Macaca fascicularis: one gene and its partner. The protein of the gene in region 1 interacts with the protein of each later gene in a pairwise test. Links are inferred from orthologs where the notes say so. Each region holds a gene or a part of one and is shown in the gene's direction. Other genes may lie near its edges.

Evidence for each region.
Region 2: the proteins of LSM3 (region 1) and LSM10 interact in binary tests that used the Homo sapiens proteins (3 or more experiments, as listed by UniProt). The link is inferred for Macaca fascicularis from reciprocal best matches to the Homo sapiens genes LSM3 and LSM10.

Annotation. Positions count from the first base shown.
Region 1 is NC_088376.1:152,442,954-152,446,865, forward strand, and holds the start of LSM3 (U6 snRNA-associated Sm-like protein LSm3), read left to right. Parts: upstream 1-1,342; 5' UTR 1,343-1,383; coding exon 1,384-1,404; intron 1,405-3,912. Other genes in the region: XPC (DNA repair protein complementing XP-C cells), read right to left, coding at 995-1,094. UniProt on the Homo sapiens protein: Plays a role in pre-mRNA splicing as component of the U4/U6-U5 tri-snRNP complex that is involved in spliceosome assembly, and as component of the precatalytic spliceosome (spliceosome B complex).
Region 2 is NC_088375.1:198,523,177-198,527,088, forward strand, and holds the start of LSM10 (U7 snRNA-associated Sm-like protein LSm10), read left to right. Parts: upstream 1-1,545; 5' UTR 1,546-1,737; intron 1,738-3,912. UniProt on the Homo sapiens protein: Appears to function in the U7 snRNP complex that is involved in histone 3'-end processing. Increases U7 snRNA levels but not histone 3'-end pre-mRNA processing activity, when overexpressed. Required for cell cycle progression from G1 to S phases.

The DNA of each region.
Region 1 (3,912 bases):
GGAATATCAAAGGAAAAGGCTCAAGAAATAACTTGGCATATTTGAGGAAGAGAAAGGAGGCCAATGAGGAGGGTATCTGGCAAGGAAACAAGTGGTAGGAGAAACAGGAGAGGTAGCAAGAGCCAAAACACGTAGCATCTTGCAGGCCAGGATAAGACAACTGGGTTTTAAACTAAGAGCAATGGAAAACCAAGGAGAGTTTAAAGCAGGAGCATGGCATGATTTTTTTTTTTTTTTTAAAGATTATTTGCGTTGCTGGATGCAGAGCTGGGAGGCCAGTCAAGAGGAAACTGCAGTCACTCAACTGAAAGGTGATGGTGACTTGGACAGGGGTTGTGGCCATGGAAATGAAGAGAAGTGGACAAATTTGAAATACAGTCTGAGGCTGAACTGACTGGACTTGCTGACGGGACTGGATGTGTGCACATAAGAAAAAGGTGGACTTTGTTTTATAACAAGTATTGGGACTGGAAAAACGGAGGAAACCATAGATTTGAAGGGGAAGACCATGAGCTCTGCACTGTCCACGACAAATGTAAGAAGCCTATCCAATATCCACGAGGGGAAGTCAGGTGGGATCCCACTGTGGAACTCTGGGCGAGACTCAGCTGAAGTTATCATTCGGGAGTCAGCACACTGCATCACTCTACGTCCTGGTCCGTCCGTCCGTTTTCCTGGGACACAAATAACTGCCTTCTCCGCGTTCAACCCTGAACATCTGCGCTGTATCCTCTGGACAACGGGGAGCGGGAAAGAAGCTACGCAGGAGCTTGGGTCGGGCGAGGCTCACGGGAAGCCGCTCTGGGTGCAGAGGACAAAGGCGCAGGGACAGCGGGGAGGGCCGGCCGCGGCCTGCCGTGCTGCCCCCACTGCGCGGAACGCGCGCAGCAACCTCCACCCGGCCTCCGCGTCTGGACTCCCGCCGCCCCTGCCTCTGGGCCTCCTCCGCCCACCGGCAGAGTCTCCCGCGAAGCCCGCTGGGCCACGCTCTCACCCTCCTCCTCCTCACGCCGGGTCTTGCTCTTGGCCTTGGACTTCTGGCTGCGCGTTTCGCGTCCCCGCGGCTCCCCGCCGGCCGCGCGCTTCCGAGCCATATTGCTTGTCGGGGAAAAATCCACTTCGCGAGTGACGCACCAGGCCGCGATGCGTTAGAACGCAGGCCCCGCCCCGAGGCGGGCGCGTCTGGCCGCGCCCCTTCGTTGGAGGCCTAGTCACGCCCCCAAAGGAAGCTCCGCCCCATACCCGTGGCCACTAAAAAACCGCGGGAAGCAGGCAAGAGCACAGCAGGTTTCTATTTCCGGTGTATTGTAGCATCACGTTTCCGGAGCTCGGCGTTGCTCTTGTGTTCTCGCGAGAGGCGGGAAAGGGCGCAGGGTTTGAAACATGGCGGACGACGTAGACCAGGTGAGTGAATTTTAAGGCGGTGGCTCGGCGCCGCTTCTTGTACTAAACTGCTTTTTCCAAACGCAGGAAAAATGGCCAGTCGCGCCTCTTCTTTCCAAGTCACACGGCCTAATCCGCCCCATCCTTTCCGTAAACACCCCTGTCCGAATTTTGCTGCAGGCCCTGAGGTCTTTTCCGTTAGAAGGCCACCTGATGACTATTCATCACACTCTTCGCTTTGTTTTTTTAAATCTGTAAATTATTATGCGTGCCTACCTCACGGAGCTGTCAGGATTCCAATAGAAAGCCAGATAATAAAGTTAGGAGTTGTTATTACTGAGCACAACAATTATTTACTCATTCAGCAGAGAGAGTGAACATCAGCTTTGTATGGTTAGACACTGTTCTAAGAGCCAGGGACACTGACATCGATATATAAGTGATCCTTGCCATGACTTGGAGCTTATATTCGCGAGGAGAACAGATAAATATAAATATGTAAGATTTATAGGAACTGTGATGTGCTATGAAGGAAACAAGGAACTGGTATGCAGAATAACAGATGGTCCTAGAAGCTTTTTCACCTGGTCTTTTTCTTCCTCAAATATCTTTGGAGATCATGCTACAACTTAAACTTTCTACTGAAATCTCACCTCCTCAGAGAGGACTTCTGCCCAAATAGCACTCCCCCTACTCTGCTTACCCTGCCTCATTTTTCTTCATAGAACGTTATTTTTTCATATTAAATGTATGCATCTTTGTTTAATGTGTATCTCTCCTGACTAGAATGTAAGTGCCATAACAGTAGGCATTTTGTTTTGTTCATTCTTTTGTCCTTGGGGTTTAGAACAGTGCTGGAAATACTCAACAAATATTTGAGTGAATGAGTTAGATGATCAGAGGAGGCCTCTTTTAAAAGCCAATGTATAAAGCTACAGGATGAAAAAGAACAGAAAGTGGGCATCCCAGACAGAGGCTTAGGTAGCAGTAGAGCTCTGTCATGTGCATATTCTTACAGTATTATAATTATTCATATGCCTATCCACATTAGAATGAGCTCCTTGAGGGTGGAGATTGTGACTTCTGTATCATTGTAATCTAACAGTTGGTTATCAGATCCTTTAACAAACACCTGTTGAACTGAGGGACATAGGGACCAGTTGAGTTAGGTTATTTTTTTTTCTCTCATCGGGCCTTTTGAATCTTTAGCGCCTGTTACGAATTCAGTTACCTTCCTCCACTGGCCTTGTGTGCTTACTAAAGAAGCTCTCCTTGAATCATCTAACTCTTTAATGGCTGCAACCCTCCCTTCCATGTGGGTGACCCCAAGTCATCCTAGCCCTGACCTCTAAAACCAGTGTTTCCAGCAGTTCTTTAATAATATAATATTAGTAGGAATCTTTTCTTTTCTTTTTTTTTTTTGGATGGAGTCTCACTCTATCGCCCAGGCTGGAGTGCAGTGGCGTGATCTCAGTTCACTGCAACCTCTGCCTCCTGGTTCAAGCGATTCTCCTGTCTCAGCCTCCCAAGTAGCTGGGACTACAGGCACGTGCCAGCACGCCTGGCTAATTTTTGTATTTTTAGTAGAGACGGGGTTCACCATGTTGGCCAGGCTGGTCTCAAACTCCTAACCTCAGGTGATCTGCCTTTCTCAGCCTCCCAAAGTGCTGGAATTCAGGCCTGAGCCACCACGCCCAGCCAAAAGGAACCGTTTCTAAGTATTAATATTTTCTGCTTTCCTGGCACTGTTTTAAATGCATTAACTAGTTTCATCCTCATAAGAATCCAGAAGGAAGGTTGTGGCTTTCTCAATTACAAATGAAGAATCTGAGAATTACAGATGGCATGATTTTTAATCTCAGTTCATAAGTGTCAGGTCACAGCCAGGAGTTGAACCCAGACTGCCTGACTCCAAAGTCAGTGCTTGCTTGCTTGTTGGCACCATCTTGGCTCACTGCAACCTCCACCTCCCAGGCTCAGGCAATCCTCCCACCTCAGCCTCGGAGTAGCTGGGACTACAGGCGCATGCCACCATGCCCGGCTAAGCCAGTGCTTTGAACCAGTGTTCTATTCTGGCTACTAAATATTCATCTTACTGGCCAGTTGGCAGCCTAACCTCAACCTGTGCTGAATTCATAATCTTCCCATAAACCTACACCTCTACTTGGCATTCTGACTAGTATATGGTAGGCATTAAGTGAGTGTTTTTCCTATGATTACATAATATTTGAGATAAAGCTAAAGTTCCTAAGACCCTATACCCTGAAATCGGGTCAGGCAGTTTGGATTTTGAGGGAACAAAGTATAGTCATGATTATTTTGCTGTGTAACTCCTTCTTATGTATGCGTGTTTTAATCTACATTTATATAGCACATACTATGTGAAAAGTTCTGTTCTAAGCCTTCATATATGTCACTTAAGCCTCATAAAAACAGTATTAGGTAGACACTATTATCTCCATTTTACAGATTAGGAGACTGAGGCAGAAAAAGGTTAAATAACTTGCACATGGTCATACAGCATAGCAG
Region 2 (3,912 bases), on another chromosome or scaffold:
TGAGACCCTGTCTCTACAAGTAAATCAAATCACGTTGCTCCCTTTCAATAGCCTATCATAGCACTTCTAGTACTAGTTGAGAAGACGGAAGCACAGAGAAGATAGCTAACTTGCCCAGTCACAGCCAGGAGCAGATTTGAGCCTAGGCACTGTATCCGGAGGCTGCACTCCTAACCATGAAATCTAAACTCCTTACCTTGGCTCACAAAGTCCTATATGCTCTGGCTCCTGCTTCCTCTCTGGTCTCTTGTTATACCACTCTCCCCAGCTTCCCTGGCCTTTCCTGTGTTCCTAAATTGTCAAGGTCATTTCCCCCAGGTTCTTTGCATGAATTGTGAAAAGAAAAAAATTGACTTTTAATTGGTGATTTGGCTTTTATTTGCTAAATTTGTTAAATTTGGGTTTTATTTGCAACTCTAGAATTGGGCAACATCTCATTCTATAAAACGGAATGAGTGTTCAAATAAGCTGAGCAGAGGAGATTAGTTTTACAGACAGAAAAGGGCTGAGGAAAGCAGAAACAGAAAACAAAAAGCAGATTGGTTGTTTCAAAGTTACTTTCCTTGTAACTTTGAAGGCTAAAGCAGAGGGGACTTCCTTATCCTGCCAGCTAAAACTGGATGGTTTGGAGATTTAAGTATCTCTCACTCTTCTGATTTATCTGAATATCAGATAAGCAACTTAGTTTCCACTTGGTGATGTGGAACTTTAGCATGAGTGACTCCATTTTGGTTTTGTCTGTTGGGCTTGGTGCAGGAGCCCTGTCCAAACCAATGGCTGCCTTTTTTTTTTTTTTTTTTCTTTGAGACGGAGTCTTGCTCTGTTGCCCAGGCTAGAATGAAGTGGTACAATCTGAGCTCACTGCAGCCTCCACTTCCTGGGTTCAGGCAATTCTCCTGCCTCAGCCTCCCGAGTAGGTGGGACCAGAGGTGTACACTACCACAGTGGGCTAATTTTTTCTATTTTTTGTAGAGACAGGGTCTCCCTATGTTGCCCAGACCAGTCTCGAACTCCTGGGCTCCAATGATCCTCCCGCTTTCTCCTTCCAAAGCGCTGGGATTACAGGTGTGGGCCTCCGCGCCCAGCCCTGCCTCCTATAAATTTTATTTAACAAACTGTTCCCTCTAATTGCAATGCTCCGCCCATAGTTTTCACAAGCTTGGCGTCATGTCACTAATCCCAACTCAAATGTCACCTTCTCAGGACACCCCTGACAATCCAATAAAAGACCACCTAGTCACTACCACGTCACACTTTCAATCTTCTAAAGAACTTTTTCCCTATTTTTCTTGTTTGTTTTCCTAAGACTCTCTCCCCTGCAGCGCCATCAGCTCGGGGAGCCACTTGATCTTGGTCACTGCTCTATGCCGGAGCCTAGGAAGCAGCCTGGCCCAGGGTGCCCGTTCAAGAACGCGTGCGGAGTGAATGAACGACTAGTGAAGGAGACTTCAATGACGCAGGCCGGCATTTGCTGAGCGCGAGCCCCGCGCCGCGAAGCATTCTGGGAATCGTAGTTTCTCCGTGCCGCGATGACTCGCAGAGCACAGACGCACTCTGCGCCGGGAGGACAGAGCGGCCCGGTCGCCGGCGTGGTTTCTCCGTCCTGCTGCAGCCGGCGGGAGGCAGCCCGTCCAGGCGCCCGCTAGCTTCGGCGGCGACCCAGACGGGGAAAGCGGAAGGAATGTCGCGTGGTGGGTCCGGGTCGGCGGTGCAGGGAGCCGCGGGGCGGAATGTGGGGTATGCCAGGACCTCCGGAAGGAGGTGCCGGAGCCCAGGAAGCGTTTTCTTCCCCATTTACCGAGTATAGCTCATTTCCCCAGACCCGCTCCCGCTGCTCTGAGTAAGGGGTGCTCATCCCGTTTTACCGGTAGCTTAGCTAGCTTGGAGAAGCTAAGTGGTTTGCTAAGTGGTCTCCCTCCTAGAAGGTGGCAGAGCCTGTCCTAGAACCCGGGCCTGACTCGAGGTCTAGTGATTGCTCTTTGCAGTCGCAGCAGCAACCCCATACCTTTGCTTGATCGCAGATTCGTCAGGCTGCAGCCTGGTGGCTGGTCGTTAGGCCCTGCCCAAGGACTTAGCTCCCAGCCCCGCTCATCACTGGCCTAGTCTAGCTTGCCACGCTCAGTGCCACACTGCACAGCCCTGGACGGGATGCTGAGTGAGGTCGTAAAGAGAGAGCGTTGCACCCCCGTTAACTCAGGGTCTGAAAATAAGGGATAGGTAAGACCTAGTGCACTAATACAATATCGGGGTACGTTGAAATCAAAGGAGAGTACCTTCAGTGGAGTGTGATTCTGGTAGCTTTGTTTCGCCTGTAGTTTAATAAATGTGGAAACAGGTTCAGAGACATTAACTTTTCTAGGTTTACATAATTAGGGGTGGAGTGGGGATTCCAGCCTGGGTTTCTCTACCTTCAAAACCTATGTACCTTATATACTACCGGTTGGGTTTCCCCCCCCCCCAATTCATTATCTAGATTTATTTTCTTTCTTTTTTTTTCTGAGAGTCTCGCTCTGTCACCCAGGCTGGAGTGCAGTGGCACAATCTTGGCTCACTGTAACCTCTGCCTCCTGGGTTCAAGCGATTCTCCTGCTTCAGCCTCCCAAGTAACAGATTACAGGTGCTCCCATGCCCAGGTAATTTTTGTATTTTTAGTGGATACTGGGTTTCATCATGTTGGCCAGGTGGGTCTTGAACTCCTGACCTCAGGTGATCTACTCCCCTTGGCCTCCCAAAATCCTGGGATTACAGGCGTCAGCCCCTGCGCCCAGCCTCATTACCTAAATTTCTACTTACCTAACAGCTGCATGGTATAGACCAATAGTTCCCAGAGTGTGGGCCCCTGACCAGCAGCATCAGCATCACCTGGGAATATGTTCGAAATGACTCTCTCTGGCCTCACCTCAGACCTCCTGAGTCAAACTGGGAGTGGGGCCCAGCAAGCTGAGATAACAGGCCCCTCAGATGATTCTGATACACACTGTATGTATCAGATGATTCTGATAATGTATGAGAACTACTGGTGTCAAGCACTGAGTCTCAAACCTTCACGTGTATCTAATTCACATACGGGGTCATGTTGAAATGCAGAGTCTGTTTCCAGTCAGTGTGGAAGAATGGCAGTGAGCCACTCAGTGAAGGAGTGGATTATCTCAGAACAGGCCTGGGGAGAGACCTGAGATTATGCATTTCTAACCAGTACCCCTCAGCACTTTGGAGTTACCTGGGGAGCTTTTTTTCTTCTTCTTTCTTTTTTTTCTTTTTTTTTTTTTTTTTTTGAGATGGAGTCACTCCGTCGCCCAGGCTGGAGTGCAGTGACGTGATCTCGGCTCACTGCAAGCTCTGCCTCCCATGTCCACGCCATTCTCCTGCCTTAGTCTCCCCAGTAGCTGGGACTACAGGTGCCGCCACCATGCCCGGCTAATTTTTTTGTATTTTTAGTAGAGATAGGGTTTCACCGTGTTAGCCAGGATGGTCTCGATCTGACCTCATGATCCGCCCACCTCGGCCTCCCAAAGTGCTGGGATTACAGGCGTGAGCCACTGCGCCCGGCTGGAAACTTTTACAAAATAGGAAATCTGGGCCCACCCCTCTAACCAAATGAATCAGAATCTGGGGTGGGGAAGGTCGAGTTAAAAACTCGCCAGATGATTCTAATGTACACCTGGTGTGAGGTTTGGAGCCAGGCGGCTATGGATTTTTTTTTTTTTTTTTTTTTGAGACAGAGTCTCTCTCATGCAGGCTGGAGTGCGGTGGCATGATCTTGGCTCACTGCAGCCTCCACCTCCCGGATTCAAGCGATTCTCCTGCCTCAGCCTCCGGAGCAGCTGGGATTATAGGTGCACACTACCATGCCCGGCTAATTTTTGTATTTTTAGTAGAGACAGGGTTTTACCATGTTGGCCAGGCTGGTCT